Linked DNA regions of Styela clava. Each later gene encodes a partner of the first gene's protein in a complex. Links are inferred from orthologs where the notes say so. Each region holds a gene or a part of one and is shown on either strand. Other genes may lie near its edges.

Region 1 (6,946 bases):
TCGAATGTAGAATTTGGTCGTTGCATGAAAACATAATACATCGAACTATCTCCTATTCCACCTTCTTTCTTACCGTCAAAATCTTTTGTGACCGATATCATTTTCTGCAACAAATAATATCACATGTTGATCCAAAAAAACACAATTTCAATATCATAAAAATGGAGATGATTGATTTATCACTTGAACTCCTTCCTGTTTGTATGGTTGTACCCAAAAGTTTCAGTACTCTAGAACGCTTTGCACATATTCTGTCTAGAATATGTTCCAAATGACTTGGGTTCTGTTTTTCTGGGTCCTTTTGTACTTATTATTAAAATTCAATTACAAGCCCCAAACAAGCTAACCTAGTTGAGCGAAAGTAATAATGAGACAGTATTGTTATGTAAAAGAACTATTGGCTTACCTATTTTTCAACCCAGAGTTTCCTCTTTTCACCTACACTAAGTTTATCTCATTATTGAGTAAATACAGAAATGAAAGTTAATCCAACGAGATTTATGCAACAAAAAATGAATTCAGAAAGTTGTTTCATTACCCATATAAAAAGATTGAAAATTCACATGTATTAAAATTAAACAACCCGTGCTTTATAACAAGTTATAGGTATCAGGTTCGAACTAACTAGTTGAAGCATAATACTACCAAGTTCCAAATAGCAATCATTTCAACTCTGGTCACTCACAACTCTTCGACTAGACTGAGTTAGTTGTTGGCTCAATACCTCAATACCCTGTTCTGTTCTGATGATATTTGTATAAAAATAAAGAGCCTTGTTTGGAGCAAACATAAAATTTTAATAAATTTTGAGCGGTTGAATGAAATATCTATTATTGCAGTCATACCTCTTTGTTTTTATTTTTGGGGGAATACGGTGCTTTAGCAGTTGTGGTGACAGAAAGTTGCCATGGTTGATCTTCTACTTTAAATTTTGATACCCTCATCCCATATTTGAGTTTACGAGCCTGAAATATTAGCAACATCAAAAATATGATAAAATTTAATAGCGTGAACCACATTTTGGAACGATTAGGTCGTTGAACACAATGCTTGGAATATGAATGATGTTTAGTATGTCAAAACACTACTTCCATATTTTAAGCTATACATTTTTGATTGTAGTTCTTTCTTTCAAATATTTAATAATCGTATTATAAAATTTTGTTAAATTCTGTGCTTAGTAGTTGGGAGTATTTGTGTGATTATGATGATATCCAGCAATCCAGGTTTATATTTTATTTCGCCCACAACTGTGGAGTCAGATTTGAGAGTTTGAGCTTGGCATAGTCGGGAGAAAAAGTCAAAATTTGGAATCCTCTGGAGCTGTAAGTCGAAATTTCATACTTACAGTAAATATTTAATAATAATAGTCAAATTCAAAACTTTTTTTGTAAACTCAAAAAGCATCAAGTTTGCTGAGCATTCTTAACAGCCTGTAAGCGAGGCATGCATATGCCAATGCTTTTGTTTTCAAAATTTGGTTTTGTTCCAGTTCCAGAGTCGAAATTTTTTATGATCTAGAGTTGAGAGACAAAACTGTAAGTTAGAGGAGTCAAAAGTCAAAATCTGGTTCAAATTTTTCACAAGTCGGGAGTCGATTGTAAATTTCCTCGATTCCACAGGCCTTGTTTAGCATAGTACTCTAATTTGGGGGCTCCCGAAGTATGCGAACCAAGATGGCGGACATCGGAATGTAATATGTGTACTATGTTAGAGTTAGGCCATAATTTTAGGTATAAATACTACGGGAGGCTCTTGGCTAGTCTTCGAACTGATAATAGGACTAAAATAAGGAAAATTGGAAAAAAATTATCGCCTAACCCTAACCTGTTACCCATGTTACGTTCCGATGTCCGCCATCTTGGTTCGCATACTTCGGGAGCACCCTAATTTGAGTAAAAAATAAAAATTATTACTTGCTCTTTTTGCTTCCTTCCATATTCGCTTCCAGCTCCAAACTCGGGATAAACCTCTTCTTCTTGAAAAATCTTTTTTCCTCTCATATTTCTCGATATCCGGGCACCGGTCCATTTCTGAAAAAGAATGGAGAAACTGTCGTTAATATTAAATTTACATCGGTGGATAGAGTTATTAGCTAGAACTAGAAGTTAAAAGGTTGTTTAACAAAGTACCCTACGAATAAATATTCAAGACAGCCCAATTTCTTACAACTGAGTTTGTAGCCAAATAGTGACATTTGAGAAAATTTTCTTTTCAGCATCAACTAGTACATTTCATTGAAGCATCATAGTGGATGTGATGGCCTAATGATTGATGGAAAACTGGAGCAATACTGACACCACTGGGTTCAAAATCAATATTCAGCACCTCAACTCTGGTAGGATACATTGAGTAAGTAGTGGAAAATCAGAAAGATTTCCATTCGTTAAAAATATTAGCTTCCCATTTATCAATAGCTGCTTGTAGAACTTTATTCTTGGAGTGGAGGGTAGTACAAGTCTCGTGAAAAATCAGTTTTATTATAACAAAGTAATCAACTCAATTGGTTGAAATTATCCAACAGAGTGGTATTTACAGGGTGAACCCCCCAAAAACAGAATCCAAAAACCTTCTCAAAAATTAAAACTTGAACCTTTGCTTATGATGGTACACATAATTTTCAGTAATCTAGGATGATTTACACGAAGGTTGTGTTTTTTTGGAATATGTTCCAAATGACCTGGGTTCCGTTATTTGGGTCATCCTGTATAAATAAACACTTCCAACCTCAAGCTGGCATAAAAAATATTATGACAATGTTATAAATATTGTACCTGTATATCCATATTGTCACCTCCTCCAAACCTCATGACATTATACTTTTTTGTTGTATTTTTTGGAACTTTAACAATGTATTCATCAAAATGTCCTTGACCAGGAGTACTGGGAGTGGCCATGTTAAATATTTTAAAGGATAGTTTTCTGCAAAGCGAAGATATTGAACACACAAAATTACAGATATAATTTGAAAATATTGTATTCATTAATACTAACATAAAATTCATTGCTAACACTTGAACTTAAAAGAATGTGATTGCATATTAATAATAATCTCATACATGAGCTTAATTCAACACACTAATACAGAAGCAATAACACTCAAGTATTGATAACAGCAGCACTTCTAGAGGTAAAATGTATGATGCAGCATATTTTTAATTTCTACCTTTAGGCATAAGAATTTGAGAAATTACATTTCAATAGTATTATGCTTTACAAAAATGCACCAGAGTAAATTATAATTCGAGCCCACGATTTAGAACATTTGGTAACTCGTCTAGAGTATAATACTTGTGGGTAATGTCTTTCGACTTTACATTGACGACTCTCAATCCAGATTTATCTTCACCAAGTTGGGCACCTATTGCAGAATTTACAACACTTTCTATTGTCAGGTTCGTTCCATTTACCACATTAGACCACTTTCCACCAGAATTTCTATGATAATGACCACTGAAGACAATTTTAACTCCAGCCTCCATGAATTCGTCTAGAAGATCCATTCTTAATGATCGTGGTATATTGAAATAATCATCATCTTCATCTCCATGTTTCGAGAATATAGGAATGTGCATAAGAATGACAATATTATCAAGGTCTTCATCGGATTTTGCCTGTTGAAGCTCATTTTTAAGCCAATCCGATTGTGCTTGTGCCAGATCTTGTACTTCTGATGAATCATAAAAGTATTGACTGTTAAGTGCAATGTAGAGAACACCTCCACAATAAAATTTATAATAATCATCTCCCCATATCTGTTTAAACTCTTCTATTGAATTTCTGGTGGGTGTGTTTAGTAAGTCATGATTTCCACTGATAACCATTGTAGGAATCTGCATATTTGCAAGGCTTTCATTAACGTCATCAATCTGCTGTTGCCTATAAGGTTCGACTCCTGGAAAGGCATTAACTAAATCCCCACTAATGAAGAAGAATTTTGGTTTATTTTGAATGTCATCAATATCTGATACAGCTTTATTTAAGCGTCGAATATCTTCTACCCAAACAGTACCATCTCCCCCAGTAATCTGGTCAATAAGGCCAGGTTGAGGATCTGCTCCTTGTATGAACGTGTATGGAGCAGTCCATTTACCTTGATCCGATTTGGTGAATCCGGCCACCTCACGATTTTTTGCTTTCAAAAGCTGGCTGTTACTTTGTTGCAAAACACATGCAAGTACAGTCAAATATAACTGATGAACCAATTTCATCATCTTGGTCGCTATAAAATCAAGTGAGTGTCAAGTACTAAAATAATGAAGCCTACAGTCTTCAATCTGTCAATTGCCAAACTGAACATAAAACTGTAAAAGTATTACTGTATTGTAGTGCCTGATGAGAACTATGCCAGAACAGGTTGAACATTGTGAAAATGAAGTTATGTCAATTATTTTAGCATTTTTTACGACTTTCACGATAATAGGAGAAGTCTAGTGGTTCTAATACCGGGCTGTGGTCATGTTAGATATTTTATAAGATAGTTTTCTGCAAAGCAAGAAAAGCAAAGATAGTGAACACCCAAAATTACAGATATAATTTGGAAATATTGCATTCATTGTTACTAACATAACACTTGAACTTGAAAAGAATTATAAACTTAGGTGATTGCATATTAATAATAATCTCATACATAAGGTTAGTTCAACACAACAATACAATATAATTTGGAAATATTGCATCCTTGATACTAACATAAAATAAAATTCATTGCTAACACTTGAACTGGAAAAGAATTATAAACTAACGTGATTGCACATTGATAATAATCTCATACATAAAGTTAATTCAACACACCAATACAATATAATTTAAAATATTGCATTCATTGATACTAACATAAAATAAAATTCATTGCTAACACTTGAACTTGAAATGAATTATAAACTAACGTGATTGCACATTGATAATAATCTCATTCATAAAGTTAATTCAACACACCAATACAATATAATTTAAAATATTGCATTTATTGATACTAACATAAAATAAAATTCATTGCTAACACTTGAACTTGAAAAAAATTATAAGCTAACATGATTGCACATCAATAATAATCTCATACATAAGCTTAATTCAACACACCAATACTAAAGCAATTTAACACTTGAGTATTAATAACAGCAGAATTCAGGTAAAACGTATATTGCAGAATATTTTTAGTTTCTACCTATAGGCATAAGAATTCAAGAAAGTACAATTCAATAGTATTATGGTGATTGCTTTAGAATTCAAGTATAATTCAAGCCCATGATTTAAAGCATCTGGTAATTCGTCTAGCGTGTAATACTTGTGAGTAATGTCCTTCGACTCTACGTTGACAACTCTCAATCCAGATTTATCTTCACCAAGTTGGGCACCTATTGCAGAATTCACAACACTTTCTATTGTCAGGTTCGTTCCATTTACCACATTAGACCACTTTCCACCAGCATTTCTATGATAATGACCACTGAAGACAATTTTAACTCCAGCCTCCATGAATTTGTCAAGAAGATCCATTCTCAATGATCGAGGTATATTGAAATAAGCATCATCATCTTCATCTCCATGTTTCAAGAATAAAGGAATGTGCATGAGAATGACTATATTATCAAGGTCTTCATCCAATTTGGCCTGTTGAAGCTCATTTTGAAGCCAATCCGATTGAGCTTGTGCTAGATCTTGTACTTCTGATGAATCATAAAAGTATTGACTGTTAAGTGCAATGTAGAGAACACCTCCACAATAAAATTTATAATAATCATCTCCCCATATCTGTTTAAACTCTTCTATCGAATTTCTAGTGGGTGTATTCAGTATGTCATGATTTCCACTGATAACCAAAGTAGGTATCTGCAAATCTGCAAGGCTTTCATTAACGTCATCAATCTGCTGTTGCCTATAAGGTTCAACTCCTGGAAAGGCATCAACTAGATCCCCACTAATGAAGAAGAACTTTGGTTTATCCTTAATATCATTAATATCTGATACAGCTTCATTCAAGCGTCGAATATCTTCTGCCCAAACAGTACCATTACCCCCAGAAATCGTGTCAATAAGGCCAGGTTGAGGATCTGTTCCTTGTATGAACGTGTATGGAGCAATCCATTTATCTTGATCCGATTTGGTGAATCCGGCCACCTCACGATTTTTTGCTTTCAAAAGCTGGCTGTTACTTTGTTGCAAAAGACATGCAATTACAGTCAAATATAACTGATGAACTAATTTCATATTAATCACTACAAAATCAGGCACCAAAATAATAGAAAAACCTTCAAAAAAGTTTAAAACATGAGTATGATCATGTGCCCGCTCAAAAGCACAAACACAAAAAAACATAAACCTGCTGTACTTCTAAAACACTTAGATACCGTAAGCGATGAAATGCAATGTGATAAAGTGACAATACAGTTAACGTTAGTCAAAAGCCAGAACTGCAGCAAGCCATGAAAATCGAAAAAGGATTGAGCATTGCTAAAATCTAAAATAAAGTCTGAAAGTGGTTAGGGAAATTTCAGTGTAAATTTATGGGATTTCGATAAAGGAGTTGTCATACAATAATAGTAAAACACTGTTAGTTATCGTGTATCCAGTATACACTAAAAAAATAGTTAAGGTATTCAAGGCGCATGTGCGAATAAAACAACTCTGCACCTGCAGACTTTAGGACTTGTGGTACTACCATAGTTTACTTACGGTAGTATAGTTCGCTCAAGCCTTTTTCGTCTTTGTTTATTTATGTTACACAGTTCTCTCGATACGATTGAGTGATGCGTCACTATACTGTATTCTCTCAACGCGATATTTTAATATTATGCTGGTTTAGCTGTCAATAATGTTTTTGCAGATTCAGACGACGAGTTGGAATAAATGAATGAGCTTTTTTATGATCTGTTTACATTTTCCAAAACGTGGTCAACTTTTCCATGTACTGTACTTCGTTTTGGTATTTTTATTTTGTGTATAT
Region 2 (6,003 bases), on another chromosome or scaffold:
GATAAGCTGCAAATAACAGATAGTAAGGCGAAAGTATGTTGCTTTATCCAAAAAATACGTGAATGGAAAATGAATGAAAAGTTTTAAAATGTAAGTCTAAAAAAAAATTGTCTGCGATTCCACGCAATTGATGCATCCATAATTATACTCAAAAATACATATTCATGTAAAATTTGACCAATACCACACTTGATCAAGTGTGCAACATGTCCGAAATTCTATTTAACTTTAAACGCCTATATGTTATTGCCTATTCGCCCTATTGTGTATACGCGAATATTTTAGTAATTTTTCTTTCTTTCCGTGGAAATTTAATGTTGTTTTTGGACACACCTAAAATATGTTAAAACATATCTGAAGCATTTTTTATTCATGTTTATTGATATTAATGTTGGGTGGTAACTAGGGCTGGGCATTTTCGAATACCTGATGATTTCAGAATCGAATCGTATAATTTTTTCGAATCGAATCTCGAATACTTGAAAGGTATGAAATTGTATGTAACTTTCTTATTATTTTAGGTCCTCCAGACACATAAATTACTGGAAACATAGAATACATCCCTGACAATAAAAAAAAAAACGTTTCCATCAATACCTCAATACAGAAAAGAGTCATATGTCAGAATTGTGTTGAAAAAATATGGCTTCAATGAATTGAGAAATTTACCTCGACCATTGGCGGCAAGAGTAAAACAAGATTGCGGCGATTCGAAAATTTACTATTCGATTCGAAATGCCCAGCCCCAGTGGTAACAGACTCCGATGACCGCATGGTCGTATCGTTGCCACCCAGTCTATACCGAGAACTGTTTCGCTTTTTATTAATCATGTTTTTGTTGTGTATATGTTTTCTGGTGGACAAAACAAATAAACTCTCCCTCTACGCCCCTCTTGTGGAGCGCGCTTCACCGTTTGTCCAGAGCCATTATACAATGGCTCTGGTTTGACAACCACTGGTCTATACGAATCGCTTGTTATCCGGCGATATATCCATGTGCAGCTTTGCCCCACCGTTGCTCCATTATATCCACGAATTAAAACTACTCGGACTAGTATTAATACCTCATGAAAAGCTGCAGTATCTTGTAATATGTCTGAATCACCTCTTATAACATATAGAAATAAACTCGTAACTCGGTCCAACAAATAATTTACTTGAACAAATTGAAAAAGAACACCATGACTGCTCAATTGAAATTCATTGGCTTAAAGTTAATAACCCCGCCTCTAATATAGTATTTTGGGCACTCTCGTAGTGTGTGTACCAGGTTGGGGGTTAGGCCATAATTTACACAACTTGATGTAAAGTCGGCGAATAAGTTACCTCCATATTGGTACACACACTTCTGGAGCGCCGTATTTCATTCCATAGAAATAAAACTTACGTAGCCTACACTCTACAGCCCTACAATATTGCGCTCCCACGGCAGACTAGAATCATACAGGGAATAAACAGCCCGAAAGTTTAATATATTTGCGTATTTTTTCCAAGTCTCGTTTAACCGTAAATATATACTAATACGGTTTAATTCAACTAGGTTTGTGATTTTAACGTGTGTGTGCTGGTGAGCGGACACATGATATTTCTCGTTTTTTTTAAATTGTTTTGAGGGTTGTGCTCGCTTTCCAAAATTCGCCATTTTAAATTTGCGTGTAATTTCTATCTATGTGATTCGACAATCGTCATATTTTCGTTTCCCGGGGTATGTACGCAATCATGAAAACTTTTCCTATTTTGATAACAGCAAGGTAAATGACCTTGTAAATGGAATATATGTCGAATGTAACAACTACACATAGGTTTATAAATGGTTCATGTTTCAAATTATCAATACTGAATATATAAAATTGTGTATGATTAACTTTATTTATTCAAATGGAAAAAAAGTCATTGAGAAATCAGCGTTCGCTGACTTCGCTCGTTGGGTACGACGCAGACAGAAGAAATTCAGGAATCCGCTTGGTTGACCGCAATTTATCTCGATTGAGTGCGGCTGTGTCCAAAGCCCGTATACCGGTATTAGTTGTGTCTGCATTGACTCCTCTCGTTATGTCAATCGTGCCAAGTGAAGCTTCTGTGGAGGAGGATTTGCCTGATATAAATTTCAATATCCAGCTTGTTGAAAGTTCGAACAAAAGGGAAGACAAACGTCACCTTCCCGAAAATAAACAGGACAACGAAGATGGTAATTTATCGCAACGTGCTGAGGTGGAAGTTACGAAATGGAACGAGCCACAAGAACTCAGAACAGGCTCATCTGGCGCTGAAAATATCACGCCTGACAATTTATGTATAGATCGTGACGAAAGCGCTAAAATATCATCGCATTTAGACTTGAACACTTCTACACACCTGACAAATGTCGTTCGTGATAAATACCAAGACAACATGAAAAAAACTGAGTCGGGAGTTACAGAAGAATTGAAGAAAAATAATTGTAAAGTGAAGGAACTTGGAGATAGTTCGGAAATTTTTGATAATGTTGCAAATAACAATGCCAAGAAACATGTAGAAGATATCAATATTGAAAATGAACATGAAGGTATTCCACAAAGACAATCAAATGTAGATGATATTGAACTTGTAGATGTCACCAATGCCACTTTATTTAGTGAACGTATTTGTGACAAGGCAGAGAATGGTAATGAAAGCCTTAAATTGCTTAGTAAAAGTGATGAAAAAGAGACTCAAGATGAAGAAGAAAATTCAATACTCGAACAGAAGTTGAGAGAAAATATGAATGATAATTTAGCAAGGGATTGTATATTGGAACCTTTGTCATTTCCGGAAAAAGCATCCTTGCTTAATCAAATCACATCAGGTGAGGAAAAATTTCATCTTGTTTTCGAGACAGACTGTAGTCCCGAGGATACTCCTTGCGTACTATGTGCAAATGTTTATAAGGACATTGATCAAAAGTCACAATATGATGAATATTTATGCCATCTTGTGGTGGAACATAAATTGGTTATTGCAGATGTAAAACTTATTGCAAATTTAAGAGAATACGCAATATATTGGAAAAAGCGCTTCACTGAAAAACCGATTGAAGAATTTTGTGCTTCTATTAATACAAATATGAGCCCTAAAGATGTTGGTGAGAGTGAAAAATATTATTTATTATGTGATGCATTACCTGAAGATAGAAAAGTTCGCGAAGCACTACAACTCAAAAGATTAAAAGATCTCATTGAAGTACAAACAAAAGAACGTGAAAATGAAGAATTTGAAAGAATGTGCTTATTTTGTACAAAATTATTTATTGGAAATCGTAATGAGCTATTCAACCATATGAATGAAGATCACAATTTCAATGTTGGACATCCTCACAATTTGATATATGTTGAAGATTTTCTCGATGAGATTGAGAAAAAGTTGAGTAGTCTTGAGTGTCTCTTTTGTGACAAAGTATTCAAGGATCGTGCCTCATTACGAGAACATATGAGAAAAAAGTCTCACCGTCGACTGAATCCAAAGAATAAACTTTACGATAAATACTACATTATAAACTATCTTGAACTTGGTAAAAATTGGGAAGTTTTGCAAAGTGAGCCAGATCAGTTGGAAGGGAATGATGATTGGACTGGTTGGGAAGATGAAGGACAAACCGCAGTTTGTTTTTTCTGCACATCTTCATTCAATACACAAGATCGTGTTTTCGAGCATATGAAAAGAGTTCATGGATTCGATTTTCCTGAAATGCGCATGACAATGAACCTGAGCTTCTATCAACAAGTTAAGATGGTTAATTACATAAGACGTACAGTCCATCAGTTACGACAAAGAGAGAAACAAGAAAAGATTGACAACGTCGAGAATGATTCGGATAGTTCTCTTACATTAATTGATGCAATCACTAAAAGTGTAAAGGACTGTATATTGTCATCAACCAAATGGAATCAGCCTCAGTATTATTTTCCAACATATGAAAATGATACTTTACTATGTCAGCTTGAAGATAAAGAAGGCCTGTATGAACCTGAAGATAATTTCATTATTGGAGAAGATGGGATTGACTGTAAAGCAATAATTAATGAGAGCGTTCTTACTGATTTGGTTGTGAGGGGTTATTTTGACTGATTTTTTTTTCCTGACGTTTTTGATCATGAATTTTCGTGTTTTCAAATCTTTATTTTTTTCTTTTGTATATGCATTTTTTGGTTTTTACTACTTTATTGCATATTTTTTGGGGGGATTGTTTAAAAATTTCCATTGGTGCTATTTTTGACTGACATACTTTTGGTTTTTTTCGGACTCTTACATGCGTTTTGGGCTCGCCGATGTTTGAACTGCTTATTGTAAATTCGTAATTTGTATATTTTCTGTAAATTTGCCAAGTCACTGTCTTGTAAAATTGCCAAAATGTAGAATAAATACATTTATCATTACATTCTAGGTATAATTGAACTGAAGGTATGATACAGTATTTACTGAATACAACGCTCACCTGTAACTTTCATCATTATTTTTTTTGTGAGAGCATTTGACCTTGCGTAGAGCAAATTTCTTTAAAAAAAAGTTACATTCACTCATCTTTACAATGCACCTTTGTTTTAAAGATTTGGTGTCATTTCCTTTCAGATTTGTAGATAGCTTATAATATCTGTCTTTATGAAATGAATGCTCCACCAGCATTTGAAGCTTTTTTACTTTTTGATGGAGAAAAGAAAATCCAAATAACCAAGGACACGAAAGTGCCAAATGCTGCACATTTTACAATTAATAAAGAAGACCACACACTTGGAAATCTGCTCAGGATGCAATTGTTAAAAGATCCGAAAGTACTCTTCGCTGGATATAAAATACCTCATCCTCTCGAATCGAAATTCATTTTGCGAGTGCAAACAACAGCAGACTACACACCACAAGAAGCATTCACTAATGCTATTACAGATCTTATTAGTGAAATTTCATTACTTGAGGAACGATTCAAGGTTGCAGTGAGAGAAAAACAAGAGGGTATTGAATAAGTTGATTGTAGCAATGTACAACCTCTTGCAACGGCTTCGTTAAGTACCCTTATATGCAAGTTATTTTGCATTTTCTGCTGACAGCAGGTACTGCTGCACCTGACTGTGATATTGGATTAGAGCTAGTCTGGAATTTTTACCCATCCAAATTAAAGATTGACATGACTGTATGTTTTAAGTGCCAACTATCCAAAACACTCTCAAAATAGGCATTAAAAATTTTGCTATAGCAAAGAGTGGGGAAAATTTCTCAGGGGTCAAAGGTCGGGAAACATCCAACAATTTACTCATCTCGACTGAGCACGTATGGGTTTGTGTATACTGGTGTTACCATATTTTACACTGCAGTTTATGAGTTGCTTGTTAAATCCTGTCTACCTACATAAGTGGATGCCTAGCAATAACAATCTTTCGTTGAATATTGATGGTCACTACGCACTGGGCTTCATCACCTACCAAATAATATTCTGCCAACAAGTTTACTATATCAATTTAGAATATATTGCTTTTAATAAAGACATGGAATACACTTGATTGTATTAATGAAAAATCAATAGTTAGTAAAGTGAAAATTACAATTACTAGGTTCTACAGTGGAATCTAAAATGTCATGAGTACAATATGCTTGTTGTGGTAGTATAGAAAAATGTCATGCAATAACAGTAAAGAGCAAATAAAAAAAAAACATTGTGAAGGCCTGTCTGTTCCCAGGGATGCCAAGAATGTTTTGAATTGGGAAGATATTTATTACAAATAGCAAATGGTTAAAATATGAAGTGGGGTTTATGATATGTTCTGGGTTAGGATAATATTTTTTTAAAAGTTTAGAGCAGTGGCCTGCAAACTGCTACACCTGCAAACAAATTTTTTTTTTGTAGCTCTCTAACAAATTCACTTGTAATTCATAAAAAAGTTGCTCACAAATTTATTATTTGCTCATGGATATATGTCGTAACACGGAGTTTGTTTTGTAGTAATTATCCAATAGCCCTACTGTTTAGTTGAAATTAATACAGAAATAGAAGTCGCA

The links. The genes of interacting proteins can lie anywhere in the genome.
Region 2: general transcription factor IIF subunit 1-like (region 1) and DNA-directed RNA polymerase II subunit RPB11-a share a complex: the UniProt entries of both Homo sapiens proteins name them as parts of the TBP-based Pol II pre-initiation complex. The link is inferred for Styela clava from reciprocal best matches to the Homo sapiens genes GTF2F1 and POLR2J.

Annotation. Positions count from the first base shown.
Region 1 is NC_135256.1:18,128,555-18,135,500, reverse strand, and holds the start of general transcription factor IIF subunit 1-like, read right to left. Parts: upstream 3,006-6,946; coding exon 2,775-3,005; intron 2,034-2,774; coding exon 1,917-2,033; intron 966-1,916; coding exon 846-965; intron 105-845; coding exon 1-104. UniProt on the Homo sapiens protein: TFIIF is a general transcription initiation factor that binds to RNA polymerase II and helps to recruit it to the initiation complex in collaboration with TFIIB. It promotes transcription elongation.
Region 2 is NC_135253.1:16,308,812-16,314,814, reverse strand, and holds DNA-directed RNA polymerase II subunit RPB11-a, read left to right. Parts: upstream 1-4,604; 5' UTR 4,605-4,619; coding exon 4,620-4,973; 3' UTR 4,974-5,502; downstream 5,503-6,003. Other genes in the region: zinc finger protein 277-like, read left to right, coding at 1,879-4,083. UniProt on the Homo sapiens protein: Core component of RNA polymerase II (Pol II), a DNA-dependent RNA polymerase which synthesizes mRNA precursors and many functional non-coding RNAs using the four ribonucleoside triphosphates as substrates.